Linked DNA regions of Macaca fascicularis. The protein of the gene in region 1 purifies or fractionates together with the protein of each later gene. This does not show direct contact. Links are inferred from orthologs where the notes say so. Each region holds a gene or a part of one and is shown in the gene's direction. Other genes may lie near its edges.

Evidence for each region. The genes of interacting proteins can lie anywhere in the genome.
Region 2: the proteins of FIP1L1 (region 1) and CSTF2T purify together in Homo sapiens (co-immunoprecipitation; 3 studies listed by BioGRID and IntAct, with this or other methods). This does not show direct contact. The link is inferred for Macaca fascicularis from reciprocal best matches to the Homo sapiens genes FIP1L1 and CSTF2T.
Region 3: the proteins of FIP1L1 (region 1) and CPSF2 purify together in Homo sapiens (affinity purification with mass spectrometry; 7 studies listed by BioGRID and IntAct, with this or other methods). This does not show direct contact. The link is inferred for Macaca fascicularis from reciprocal best matches to the Homo sapiens genes FIP1L1 and CPSF2.

What each region holds. Positions count from the first base shown.
Region 1 is NC_088379.1:80,479,145-80,483,477, reverse strand, and holds part of FIP1L1 (pre-mRNA 3'-end-processing factor FIP1), read left to right. Parts: intron 1-23; coding exon 24-117; intron 118-2,152; coding exon 2,153-2,309; intron 2,310-4,333.
Region 2 is NC_088383.1:94,860,627-94,865,626, forward strand, and holds CSTF2T (cleavage stimulation factor subunit 2 tau variant), read left to right. Parts: upstream 1-1,564; 5' UTR 1,565-1,610; coding exon 1,611-3,488; 3' UTR 3,489-3,932; downstream 3,933-5,000. UniProt on the Homo sapiens protein: May play a significant role in AAUAAA-independent mRNA polyadenylation in germ cells. Directly involved in the binding to pre-mRNAs.
Region 3 is NC_088381.1:160,117,789-160,122,892, forward strand, and holds the start of CPSF2 (cleavage and polyadenylation specificity factor subunit 2), read left to right. Parts: upstream 1-1,668; 5' UTR 1,669-1,820; coding exon of another isoform or gene 1,821-1,865; 5' UTR 1,866-1,867; coding exon of another isoform or gene 1,868-1,952; 5' UTR 1,953-2,068; exon of another isoform or gene 2,069-2,111; intron 2,112-2,148; exon of another isoform or gene 2,149-2,532; intron 2,533-3,033; exon of another isoform or gene 3,034-3,246; intron 3,247-4,389; exon of another isoform or gene 4,390-4,460; intron 4,461-5,104. UniProt on the Homo sapiens protein: Component of the cleavage and polyadenylation specificity factor (CPSF) complex that play a key role in pre-mRNA 3'-end formation, recognizing the AAUAAA signal sequence and interacting with poly(A) polymerase and other factors to bring about cleavage and poly(A) addition.

The sequences.
Region 1 (4,333 bases):
TTGATTCAATTTTTGTGTTACAGGAGATTACCTGGAGCAATTGATGTTATTGGTCAGACTATAACTATCAGCCGAGTAGAAGGAAGGCGACGGGCAAATGAGAACAGCAACATACAGGTTTAGTATTTTCTTAAATTGAAGGATGATATCAGCATTCTAATTTAATTTATTCAAGTCATAGTGCTGTGCTGTGTTTTAGGTGATACAAAGAGATTTAAAATGTGGAACGAGTCCTCCTTTATTATAAAGGCATTTCCAGTGAGAATTTATAATTTCTGAATCTCTTTTTAATAGGGTTTTTTCCTTTTCTTTGATAGAAACCTAATACAGTTTGAATATCTGTTATCTAAAATGCTTGGTACCAGAAGTGTATCAGATTCTGGAAATTTTCAGATTTTGAAATGTTTGTATGTATGTAATCTTAGGGATGAGACCCAAGTCTAAACATGAAATTTATGTTTCATAAATAATTTATTTAATTTATTATAATGATTTGTTAATTTATGATCATCTTTTTTCCTTTGGCAACTCTGAATAAACTCTGTAGTGGGCCTGAGTTTTGATTGTGACCCGTCACATATGAGTTTGTGTGTGGAATTTTCCACTTGGAATAAAATATTGGTGCTCAAAATGTTTTGGATTTTAGAGCATTTCAGATTTCAGATTTTTGGAGTAGGAATATTCAACTTGTATATAGGTTCACTGATTGAAAAATAAAAGACCACCAGTGATTTTACCACCTAAAGATAACCACAGCTGGTACATCTCTTGTTACTAAGCAAAATTGGGATACTATTATATTTCTGTGTATACTTTTTTCCCCCATCAAAAATTATTTGCATGTTTTCATATTCTTAAAATATGATTAAAATATCTTCCTGATAGCTTCACTGGATGAATATACCATAATTTATTTAATGTGACATTTCCGGGGGAGGTGTAGAGTTCCTTTGTTTTTAAGTGAAAAAATGAGGGGAAGTGAATTATCAGTAAGCTGGATAATTGATGTTAGAACTTTAATAACTGAGACTTCCAGCTATTCAGTTTGGCCATACTTTTTTCATTATTTATTCTGTTTTCTGAGTCCTTTTGAAAATGTCCAGAGCACTTTATTCTCACCTTCGATAAGTTGATCATGTAAAATATTCCTTTTAGCATCTTTAAAGGCAAATCATTTCTATAGTGGAAGATGTTAGTCCATTTTTCCTTTCCTCTTACCATTAAAATGCCATGATTTCTCAAAATAAATACTTAAAGAAATAGCTTATCAGCGTAAGCCCTACAAAAAACACTGCACTTAAATATAGGAAACATTAATAGAAAGAGGGATTGTATGTTTAAAAGATTGCTTTAGTCAGCAAGGATCTGAGAAGTATAAATTAAATATACAACATTATGTTGGCTGTCTTTCCCAAATTTATTTACACATCCTTGGGGACCTTACCAAAAATCCAGATTTTGAGGTGCCAGTTTGCTTGTTTTATTTCAGTAGGTTTGGGGTGCTGCTTATGGTGTCTGTCCCTTAACCTGTTCACACAAATAAGCATTTTGCAAACATTACTTTATTTTTCAAGAAAAAACCCTGTTCTTAAAGTTACAAGGCTCACATGATAAAGTTATTTACATATCTTGCTGCCTATTGCTTGCAGTCTGTTGATGCATGCCTGACAGTCTCTTATTTTGCAACCTGTTGATGACAGGCCCTCGTACAGTGAATGACTGACCTGCTGCCATGTTAATTTCTTAAGGCTAGTGTCTGATTAATGATTACATTGCCTTAATTGAATACTTTAACTTTGGTTGGGTGACAAAGATAATACTTGTTAAATGATCTTTATGAAGTACTTTTTTCTTGTGTGGGGTGTTTTTATTACTTAATTACTTTTTATTAAGAAATTTTTGGTAATGAGCCAGTTGTTTTTTCTTAAGATTTGAATATGCACATTTTAAAAAGTATATGTGTGTGTATGCTCACATAGGCATATGTATGCACATATCACACATGTAGAACTATTACTCTCCCTGCAAAAATACATATATGTGAATTAAACTACCATTTACTTTGTTTCTTAGATTAAATGAAGTTAATTTACTAAGATTAATCTTACATAATATTTATGCATCTGTTTATTTAACTGTGTTCTAATTTTAGGTCCTTTCTGAAAGATCTGCTACTGAAGTAGACAACAATTTTAGCAAACCACCTCCGTTTTTCCCTCCAGGAGCTCCTCCCACTCACCTTCCACCTCCTCCATTTCTTCCACCTCCTCCGACTGTCAGCACTGCTCCACCTCTGATTCCACCACCGGGTAAATAGTAAATAAGACATTTGACTTTGAAAGAAAAATAGCTTGCGAGTGTTTTTTTAAATTTTTGACAATTAAAATAATATCTTGATAGCATTACATTAAAAGTAATAGATATTATGTTTATCTTTAACAGATTCACACTGAAACAGATATATATGTGTCTTGCTTTTTCACAGTATAGGAAAGAGACAGTGTTCTAAAATTGAGAAGAATATACAGATACCAATCTTGTGATTCAAAAATATGATAATGATCCCCCAACTTAAGTTGCTAATAGGATATGTATAAATCCATACTCAGTTATAAACTTTACCAGTGTTAATTTGTTTTAAAAGAAGCATTAAAGATACTTTTAGGATGGGAGTAGATAAAAACATTTTATCTTGTGAAGAGATTGAAATTAATATTTCAGTCTGGTCTTCTGTATACTGGTTTCCTTTTTGGAGACTGCTAGTGGGTGCCTGGTATTTACTTCTTTTAAATAAAAGTGATATAAATGTTTATCATATTTATAGCTACTTTTGATTACTAATTAAAAACCAGGTTAGTGGTGATAGAGAATAAACTCACAAATAATTCCCAAATTTTATTTTTATTTGAATTTTTCATCTGGTTGCCTCTCTTACTTTGTTTTTAATCTTTATCTGCCTTAACCAAGTTTTTATGAAACTAGCAAGATTGATTAAGAATAATAACTTCTTCCCAGGGAGAAAGCTAGTAGTAAATGATGAAAAAATAGCTGCTTATCCTCATCAGGGCAACATGAAAGACATGTATTAGGCTTTACTTCCTATTAATAAAATCAGTTTATACTGGAGAGCCATGTACTCTCACTCACTTTTATTTGCAAGAGAGCTGTCTTTGTTTTAAGGTGCCAGTTGTGATCGGAGTACAGAACCAAATACAGGGTCTGAATAGTCCTTCCCTAACATATTCATCCTTGGCCTCTAAATGTCAGCCACTGCTTCTGTCTTTCATCCTCAGTGCCTTTGATTTCCTTCCACTGTCACCTCTACTCTCAAAAAGTATGGAAAAATATGAAAAAATGACTTGTGGCTTTAGAGGGTCTGTTGTCTCAAAAATAGAGGAAGGAGGAGGTTGTAATATAGGTTTGAGGTCCTTATTCTAGACAACATTAGTATTTCTAAATTCAGTGAATTTCTTGTTCCAACAAATAGATTGAGCAGAAACCACTCATTAGTTGGGGCTGACTTGTGGTTCTTGTGTCTTTAATATGCTGAGTAATAACCAAATGAAAGGGGACTTAGGTGATTCAAAATGAGGACTTCTGTGATTTCTATATGAATCCTTTGTCCTCTGAAAAAGAATTAGATAAATAAAAGAAATAATGTTTTAACATATTTGATTAATGATACTAAAAAATTATTAATGTTTGTGTTAATAATCCTGCTGGATTCCTTTGTAATATTACTTTACTAGGTAGTAAGTGATTTGAAATAATTTTCTTTTTTATTCTTAAAAATCTTTTTAAAAATTTTATTTTTAATTGACGGTATTACTTGTATATGTTTAATGGGGTACAGTGTGATATTTTGATCATGTCTATGTTGTAGAATGATTAAATCAAGTTAATATATTCATTGGCTGACATACTTACCATTTTCTTGTGGAGAGAACATTCTGAAATCTACTCTCCTAGCAGTTTTGAAATATACAGTTATTAATTATAGTTGCCATGCTGTACAGTAGAGCTCCAAAACTTTTTTTCCCATTTTACTGAAACTTTTGTGTCCTTTGAAAATCATCTCCCCTCCCTCACCCATGGCCCCCAGCCTCTGGTAACCACCATTTTACTCTCTGCTTCTATGAGTTGGATCATATGAATGAGATTGTACAGTAATTGTCTTTCTGTGTCTGGCTTATTTCACTTAGCACAGTGTCCTCCAGGTTCATGCATGTTGTCACAAATGACAAAATGAAAGGATTTCCTTATTTACTAATATAGTATATCCCCAGATGGCTAACATTTTATATGTTTAGTACTAATTATTAAAGTAACTAGG
Region 2 (5,000 bases), on another chromosome or scaffold:
TTTCTAATAGCCACATTTTAAAAAGTGAAATGAATAACATTAACTTCAAAATAATTTTTTAATCCAGTATACAAAAATATTACATTTCAACTTATAAACAATATAAAATTGATGAGCTATTTTTACATTTTTTGGTATTTGATCATTAAAATCTTTCATGTGTCTTACATGTATGGCATACCTCAACTGGAATGTTAAATTTTGACTGGAAGTACTTTCTTTTTATTTCTTTTTTTGTTTGTTTGTTTGTTTTATCTTAGTGTTCTGTGAAATGATTTTTATTTAAAATACAATTTATTACTGCAAAAGTAGATTTTATACCCAAGTTGTCATAAATACTAAAAAAAGTTTTCCAATAGCCTACTGAACATTAGTTTTTATATTTAAATTAATAAAAAATGAAATTTAAAATTCAATTCCTCAATCACACTAGCTGCATTTCAAATATTCAATATGCGTAAGGCAGTGTAGATCTGGAGCTATGCGAGACCAACCTGGGTTAGAATCCTGACTTTGCCTCTTTCCGGCTGCTTGTCCTTGGGAATTTACCTAGCCATCCCCAAGTTTCAGTTCTATCTTCGAATTGGAGTCGAGGAAATCCCACAGTGAATATGTTTTAACTCCTGCCTGGAAAGCTAACAGCAGAAGACAACCACTATTTGTTTTTCCCTTCATGGAAGTGGTGGATTCACTGCATGATATAATAAAAATCAGAACCAATCAATGTAGGGATAGTTAAGTAAATTTCATTATTCCATACTCTGAAGCCATAAAATGCTAATAACTAATTTATTTAATCACCAATTAATACTGAAATCGGTTATTATTAAGGAAGAAAACCGTAATATTAGGAATAGCACGACTGCTGCCCGTGTGCTCAAAAAAACCTAGAAGGGTCTGCCACCCATCCATTAACAGCGGTTATAGGAAGCAACAGAGCGGGGGCAGGGTCCAGCAGGCACACGCTTCAGTTTATATTTCTTGTCAGTTAATTTCCAAAAACGTTGTTCTAAAAAGGAAATATAATACTGTTTTACTTTAAGGGGCAAATCTCAAATGTGCTTTGAAACGACTACGCTTTTGCCTCAGTCTGGAATGTGATTTGAAATCTAGCTTAACTATACTATAATAAAAGGCCACATGAAAATACTTTGTCAGAACGAAAAACATGCAGCCTTAAATCCGCTTTCGGTTGGCGGTTTCCCGCCGGTGGAACGGAAGCAAAACCGCCTTTGACGTCAAGGGAGGAGTCCCCTCCCAGTTACTATGGTGAAGTCTATGCGGCCATCTTTACTGTGGTCATCTCGCACCAAGGGTGTCGTAGCGGGGCTGTTGGGGCTCCACAGAAAGTCGGCGGAAGGTGAAATGGGAAAGGAATCATGCGACTCTGTAATAAGAAGCTGACAGAACCACGAAGGATCAGGGACTTAAAGCATTAGATAACTTGTTAGTGGGATGCAGGTTCCACAGGCAAGCAGAACGATTCAAGCGAATTAGTAAGGTTTCTGCCCGGATCTTGAGAGCCGCTTCCGTTGCTCAGCGGAAGTGTCGGTCGCAAGAGGACAGACGCCTGGAAGAATCCGCTATCGGCAGTGTGCACAACCGGAATCATGTCGAGTTTGGCGGTGAGAGACCCGGCAATGGATCGATCACTGCGTTCCGTGTTCGTGGGGAACATTCCGTATGAGGCAACTGAGGAGCAGTTAAAGGACATTTTCTCGGAGGTTGGTTCTGTTGTCAGTTTCCGGCTGGTATACGATAGAGAGACGGGAAAACCCAAGGGCTATGGCTTCTGCGAATACCAAGACCAGGAAACCGCGCTTAGTGCCATGCGGAACCTCAATGGGCGGGAGTTCAGTGGCAGAGCGCTTCGGGTGGACAATGCTGCCAGTGAAAAGAATAAGGAGGAGTTAAAGAGCCTCGGGCCTGCAGCGCCCATTATTGACTCACCCTATGGGGATCCCATCGATCCAGAAGATGCCCCTGAATCGATTACCAGAGCAGTAGCCAGTCTCCCCCCGGAGCAGATGTTTGAGCTGATGAAGCAGATGAAGCTCTGTGTCCAAAACAGCCACCAGGAAGCTCGAAACATGTTACTTCAAAATCCACAACTGGCTTATGCGCTGTTGCAGGCGCAAGTAGTGATGAGAATCATGGATCCAGAGATTGCTCTGAAAATTCTTCATCGGAAGATACATGTCACACCACTGATCCCAGGCAAATCTCAGTCTGTGTCTGTCTCTGGCCCTGGCCCTGGCCCTGGTCCTGGCCCTGGCCCTGGGCTCTGCCCAGGACCTAATGTTCTGCTGAACCAGCAGAATCCACCAGCTCCTCAGCCTCAGCATTTGGCTAGAAGACCTGTGAAGGACATTCCTCCTCTGATGCAGACTCCTATCCAGGGTGGAATTCCAGCTCCAGGGCCAATACCAGCTGCAGTTCCCGGACCTGGTCCTGGTTCCTTAACTCCTGGAGGAGCAATGCAGCCCCAACTTGGAATGCCAGGGGTTGGCCCAGTGCCTTTAGAGCGGGGACAAGTGCAGATGTCAGATCCTAGAGCTCCTATACCTCGTGGACCCATGACTCCTGGTGGTCTACCTCCTCGAGGACTGTTAGGAGATGCTCCAAATGACCCACGTGGAGGGACTTTGCTTTCAGTCACTGGAGAAGTGGAGCCCAGAGGTTATCTGGGTCCACCCCATCAGGGTCCCCCCATGCATCATGCCTCTGGTCATGACACTCGTGGCCCTTCCTCACATGAGATGAGGGGAGGGCCATTAGGAGATCCCAGACTGCTAATTGGAGAGCCCAGAGGCCCCATGATAGATCAAAGGGGTCTACCTATGGATGGTAGAGGTAGTAGAGATTCTCGAGCGATGGAGACTCGCGCCATGGAAACTGAGGTCTTAGAGACACGTGTAATGGAGAGGAGAGGAATGGAGACCTGTGCCATGGAAACCAGAGGGATGGAAGCAAGAGGCATGGATGCAAGAGGATTGGAGATGAGGGGCCCTGTCCCCAGTACAAGAGGTCCTATGACTGGTGGAATTCAGGGTCCTGGTCCCATTAATATAGGGGCAGGTGGCCCTCCTCAGGGACCCAGACAGGTCCCAGGCATTTCAGGGGTGGGGAATCCTGGAGCTGGTATGCAGGGTACAGGCATACAAGGAGCAGGCATGCAGGGAGCAGGCATGCAGGGAGCAGGCATGCAGGGGGCAGGCATACAAGGAGGAGGGATGCAGGGGGCAGGCATACAAGGAGTGGGTATACAAGGAGGAGGCATACAGGGGGCAAGCAAGCAAGGTGGAAGCCAGCCTAGCAGTTTTAGTCCTGGGCAGAGCCAGGTCACTCCACAGGATCAGGAAAAGGCGGCTTTGATCATGCAGGTTCTTCAACTAACTGCAGATCAGATTGCCATGCTGCCCCCTGAGCAAAGGCAGAGTATCCTGATTTTAAAGGAACAAATCCAGAAATCCACTGGAACTTCTTGAAAGATTTTAGAAAATATTTGGCTGTAGTCTCAAAGTTTATTCTGTAGCATGGAGAATGGGTGCAAAAAGCTGACTTCTGCATCCCCACACTTGGATTAGGGTTTCCCTCCTCCTAGAACCTAATCTTACTTTTTGTTCTTTTTATTTCTTTCTGTTTTCCTTTTTTATTTTTAATTGAGGGTGGGGGGAGGAGGGAGTGTGTCTGTTCACTTTAAGTTACTGTAAAATAACTCTGAACATGACAACATTATGCCAAATAAGATTACAAAGAATAAGCAGCAATATTGAAGTGTCTACAGTATGTTAACTACATTTTTTAAATGTTGAGTAAAACTTTGTGAAAACTGCTCATAAAGACTAAAAGTTGACCTGTTAAAACGTTAATGTACTAAGATGGTTTTAAGATTTTTGGTTGTATAACAAAATAAAGTTTACCCAAAAGTATAAGACACATTTTTTGGTAAACCATTTAAAATACAAAATCCTATTGGAGGCAATAGGATAAGCATTGTCTTAGTGTTTTAGAATTATTTTTGAAATATTAGAGTTAACAGGATAAGGTTAAACTTGTATTAGAATTGTTTTTTTCTAAAGTTGTGTTACCTGAAAAATCAAGGAGTACACCTGGTTTACTGTTGCTTCATTTATCCCAGCCTTCAGAGACCAGCAAGGTTCTGCCAGGCCCCAAGCATCAGAGCATGTTGATTTTGCTGTGACAATTCTAAAATCAACCAGGTTACTTAAGTCCACTCTGATGAAACCCTATCTCTCAATACCTTCCAATTTCTCAATAGTCTTTAAGCCCTAAATCTGAGTCAGTAATTCTCTCACATCCTTCCCAAAAATCAGTGTCTAGGGACCAGTTGATCTGGATGAGTTATACATGATATTTGACTTTTCATAAGTAGTAGGTTTCACTAAGTAAACTCTCAGTTTCTTGGTATCTGGCTTTCATATACAGATGGTGTCCATTTGCTCCACCAGACAGAAGTTAAAAACCTTTAGACTAAACAGCATTTAACATGCCTTTTAGTTTTCTTATTTCATAATCTACTTTTCTATCATTAATCATGTTACCAGAATAATCAAGGCCCAAGTAGGTAGAAGTTTTTATATAGCCTGAATACTCAGTTGACTTATTGCTTATTTTACTTTTTGTAAGGAATACAGCCATTTAGTCCTAATATACATACCAATGAGACAATTAAAAATTGGTTGAAAGATGGGGCTTATTACATTGCGCTACTACGACTTTATTTTTCCTTGAAAATAAAGCCTTGAGGATGTGAACACAAACATTTGTATTATAAAACAAGTAGTAATTAATAAAAGCATAAGTTATCAAATATCAGGTGATCTTCTGTGGAGAAGGAAAACCAATATCTAGTTACAGATTACAAAATGTTTAATACAAAGAGCTGAAAATGTAGAAATTCAGTTATCTTCCCTTTGCAAAACGTTTACATTTTAAATTAGTATTCTTTGTTCACAAGGTTTTCACCCCTATGCTGT
Region 3 (5,104 bases), on another chromosome or scaffold:
GCTGGAGCTACAGGTGTTAATTTTAAAAAATCCTTAAAAAAATTTGTAGACACAAGATCTTGCTATGTTGCCCAGGCTGGTCTCAAACTTGTGGCCCCAAGTTTCACATTTGGGGGCATTTTGGATTTCCAATATTCTGATCAGGGATGCTGAACCTGTAATGGTCATCAGGTGGAAAATAAATTGCACTAATTCAATAAAAACATAGTTGGATTGCCAATTTCCTATAAAAATTCGTGCATACAGATGAATTCAAAATACACCTGTGTGCATTTGGACCTAACCTAATAAATCATGTACAATGACTGAGAAGACATATGATAACATCCTAGAAAGACAATACATTATTGCCAACAAAACTGCTTAGCACTAAGCTCTGCTAGGCCTATGTAGACTGAATTTCTGCCTCTCCTCTGACACTGATTGGCAGTTATACAATTCATACATTTTTCTTTCCTTTTTTTTTCTTTTTTCTTTTGAGACGGAGTTTCGCTCTTGTTGCCCAGGCTGGAGTGCAATGGCGCGATCTTGGCTCACGGCAACCTCCGCCTCTCGGATTCAAGGGATTCTCCTGCCTCAGCCTCCTGAGTAGCTGGGATCACAGGTATGCGCCACCATGCCCAGCTAATTTTGTATTTTTGTTAGAGACGGGGTTTCTCCATGTTGGTCAGGCTGGTCTTGAATTCCCGACCTCACGTGGTCCACCCGCCTAGGCCTCCCAAAGTGCTGGGATTACAAGCGTGAGCCACCGCGCCCGGCTTTTTTGAGACAGATTCTCACTCTGTGGCCCAGGCTGGAGTGCAGTGGTGCAACTACAGCTCACTGCAACCTCTGCCTCCCAGGTTTAAGTGATTTTCTTGCCTCAGCCTTCCGAGTAGCTGGGACTACAGGCACGTGCCACCATGCCCGGCTAATTTTTGTATTTTTAAGTAGCGACGGGGTTTCATTGTTGGCCAGGCTGGTCTCGAACTCCTGACCTCTTCATCCGGTCACCTCGGCCTTCCAAAGTGCTGGGATTACAGGCCTGAGCCACCGCGCCTGGCCATACGTTTTTCTTTTAAAAGGCAAGGTCGGCCGGGTGTGCTGGCTCACGCCTGTAATCCTAGCACTTTGGGAGGCTGAGGCGGTTGGATCACGAGATCAGGAGTTCGAGACCAGTCTGGCCAACATAGTGAAACCCCGTCTCTACTAAATATACAAAAAATTAGTCGGGTGTGGTGGCGGGCGCCTGTAAACCTAGCTACTTGAGAGGCTGAGACGGGACAATCGCTTGAACCCGGGAGGCGGAGGTTGGAGTGAGCGGAGATTGCGCCATTGCACTCCAGCCTGGGTGACGAGTGAACCTCTGTCTCAAAAATAAAAATAAAAAAGCAAACCAAAAGGGTAAGCGCATCATTTTGGTGCAACGGTGTCGGCTCAAGAGGATTTGCGGTTTGGAAGAGAGCGAGGTTAGCGAGGAGACAGAAGGCTAGGACTTATATGAACGTAAGCTGCTTGGGGAGGGGAGGCAGCCAGCGTCTTCCCTGCTTCAGGCCAGGCATGGGATACCGGCTAGCGGGCGGTCACTGGGTCACATCTCTACGGACGTTTTCCTGTTATAACAGCCTCAGAAAACCCATTCCAAAAGCTCCGGCCCGGAAATCCCATCCTCCACCCGAAGAAAACTCCATTTTCCTTTCCCGTCACCTTCGCTCGGAAGCCCCGGGGAAGCTCAGACCACCCCTCCACACACGCACAGCACCGAGGGCCTGCCTAGAACCCTCCCCGTCACCCTCGCCGTGATCCGCGGCGCGGCGGCCCCCCAGGCTCCCCAGACCCACCTGCAGCCTCAGTGCCAACAGGGACCCCGAGACCAAAGGCAACTCAGCCACCCGCGCCAGTGGAAGCTGCGACCTCGGGACCTGCCATTCGCCGCGCCGGCACGGAGCAGAGGGGTGACGCCAGCAAATCATACTACTTCTTCCTCCTCAGGGTTGACTCCTTTTTTTTTTTTTTTTTTTTTTTTAGCTTCCAAACATTATCAATAATTTCTGAATACAATTTCGCTCCACTCAGACGAGGCGTGCAGGTATGAGCGCCGTCGCCTTCCCACAGCCCCGTGCCCACCCCCCGGAGATGGTCTCGCCCTGGGTCCTCCTCGTTTACGCCGCTCGCCTCCAGCTCCAAAATGGCGGCCGCCGCTGGGGGGGCTTCTGCCGGCCGGTAGTGCCCCGCGCTGCTGAGCCAGCATCGGCTTTTCTACCTCTTGAACCTGGATTCGCTTAGGGGTTGGGAAGGGCAGTGGACGGCGTTGGGGGAGGCCTGACGAGGCAAGTGAGGGCGGGAGAAAGGAGTAAGCCTCTGGCGGGGGAAGGCGGCGTCACTGGCCCTCCGGGAGCGCCGGGCCCCGACTCCGACCCGGTCTCCCCCGAGGACTCGCCCCCGCCGCTTCGGCTGCGACTGTCCCTGTCGTTCCTGGCAGAAGTGGTCAGCGAGGGAAAGAGAAGTGACTTCTCCATGGGTTTCAAGCTCCCAGCTGTTTTGCGGCAGCTCGTACGGTTCCCTCCCGGGATCTTCTTTCCTCCTTTCTGCTTCCCTCTGCTTACCCTTTCATCTCTTGGCGCTGGAGGAGTTAAGCCGACGCCAGCTTTAGCTGCTTAGCCTCGTGGCTACGGCGTTCTCAGCCTCCCCCGCTCGGGCTCTTCCCGTCGTTTTGGGTTGAGAGACCACGAGGTTACTAAGCTCTGGGCACCGCGTAGGCGTCCTTTTAGTTCATCGACTCCAGAGACCTTTAGGATGTTTGTACCACGCTGTACTAAAAGGGTCTCGGCCCTTCGCGCCCTCCCGCCATTGCCCCCCCAGCGCTTCCACTATCACTGTGAAGTTATAATTCTTTTTTGACTTCGTACTGTTTTACGTGCTCTTTAGAAAACAAGAGGTCAGACTGTAACCCCGGCAAGTCTGGCCTCCTGTGACCAGGCGAACCTGAGCTATCATTTATACCCATCCCCTAATTTTTAATTTTACAATCCCTTTAACCCCTTTTTTTCCTTTCTTTTTTCTTCTTCTTCTTCTTTTTTTTTTTTTTTTAATAGAGACGGGGTTTCACTATGTTGCCCAGGCTGGTGTCGAACTCCTGGGCTCAAGAGAACCTCCCATTTTGGCCTATGCTGGGATTACAGGCGTGAGCCACCATGCCCGGCCTTGCAGCCCCAATATGAAATTGCTGCTTTCCCTCAACTGACAGGAAAGAGACTTCCCCACTCAGTGAGTTCCAGGGCTAACCCAAACTCCTCTGTTTTCCCTTGGATTTTGCTTAGTTCACCTTAGTTGTCATCAACATGCACGGTCATGATTTTTTATTTTTTATTTTTGAGAAGGAATCTCGCTCTGTTGCGCAGGCTGGAGTACAGTGTCACGATTCTCGAGGCACTGCCACCTCTGCCTCCCGGGTTCAAGTGATTCTCCTGCCTCAAGAGTCACGAGTAGCTAGGAGTACAGGCGCGCACCACCACGCCCGGCTAATTTTTGTAGTTTTAGTAGAGACAGGGTTTTACCTTGTTGGCCAGGATGATCCGCCCGCCTCGGCCTCCCAAAGTGCCGGGATTACAGGCGTGAGCCACCGCGCCCAGCTGATTTATTATTTGAGACGGGGTCTCGCTCTGTCCCCCAGGCTGGAGTGCAGTGGTGCCATCTCAGCTCACTGCAACTTCCGCCTCCCGGGCTCAAGCAATCCTCCCACCTCAGCCTCCCAAGTAGCTGGGGTCACCAGCGCAGCCACCGCGCCCGGCTACTTTTTTGCGTTTTTAGTAGAAATGGGGTTTTGCCATGTTGCCCAGGCTGGTCTGGAACTCCTGAGCTCAAGCGATCGGCCTTCCTCGGCCTCCCAAAGTGTTGAGATTACAGGCGCAAGCCACTGCGCCCGGCAACATGCACGATCATTATTGAGAGGGCAAGTAACTGTGAGATATTGGGTATTGGATATTCAACGATGATCACTTTTACTACTCTATACATTGAAAATCCATTCAAATACTTTATGTGCCCGCTTTATAACAAAATAACTTGGGTTAGGGCAACAAAAAGGCTTTATAAAGGAGTAAATATGTGAGTTGGGTCATGTAGCATCAAAAGGAATTTGCTGAGCTCAAAAGGAGAAGGTAATTTCGGGATTCAGTACAGGAATATAGAGCTTTGAGAAGCTTTAGCATACTTAGGGAGAGTGGGATAATCAACCTGCTTGAGCATTTAGTGCATGAGTGATTGGTGAAGCAAGAGGTAGGTTAAGATCAGCTTGTGAAGGATCTTGATTTCCAATAGGGAGTTTAGATTTTATTCAGTAGTTAGCAGGAATCCAGTGGATATTTTGTGCAAGGAGTGAGCAGGAGGGTATTTGTTTTTTTAGGATGGTCTCTGACAGCTATATAGAGGATCAACTGGGAACAGAAAAACTAGATGAAAGGAAATTGGCAATCATTCAGGTAAGGCAATGAGGGCCTCCATGGAGGCAGGACATAAAGGAGGTCAGAGAGACACTAAGTAAATGTCAAATGGGATTCACCTGCTGACTGCTAAGTTAATGGTAAGAAGGTGACTTGAGTTTTTATTCTGGGAGAGTAAATGGTTGGCAATACTATTAAAACTTAGTCTGAGACATGCACACAAACATACGATGGTGCCAACCTGCACTTTAGGGGTGACAACACAATGCTCTATAGTGTAAAGCATTGATTTTTATGGTCTGGAGTCTAGATCTGCACTGTTATAGTAGTCACTAGCCACATGTAGCTACTGAGCACTTCAGATGTGGTTAGTCTAATTGAAATGTGCTGTAAATATAAAATACACAGTGGATTTTGAAGATTTAATATGAAAATGTAAAATATTCAACATGATTATATGTTGAAATAATATTTTGGTTCTACTGGGTTAAATAAAATACATTAAAATTCACCTGTTTCTTTTTCACTTTTCCATGTGACCACGAAGAAATTTAAACGTACATTTGTGGCATGCATTATATGTCTGTTGACAGAGCTGTTCTAGTCTAGACTAGATGTGGGAATTTGTAAGGAGGTGGAATATGAGCTGGGCCCAAAGACATTGAGCAGTGATGTCAGGGTGG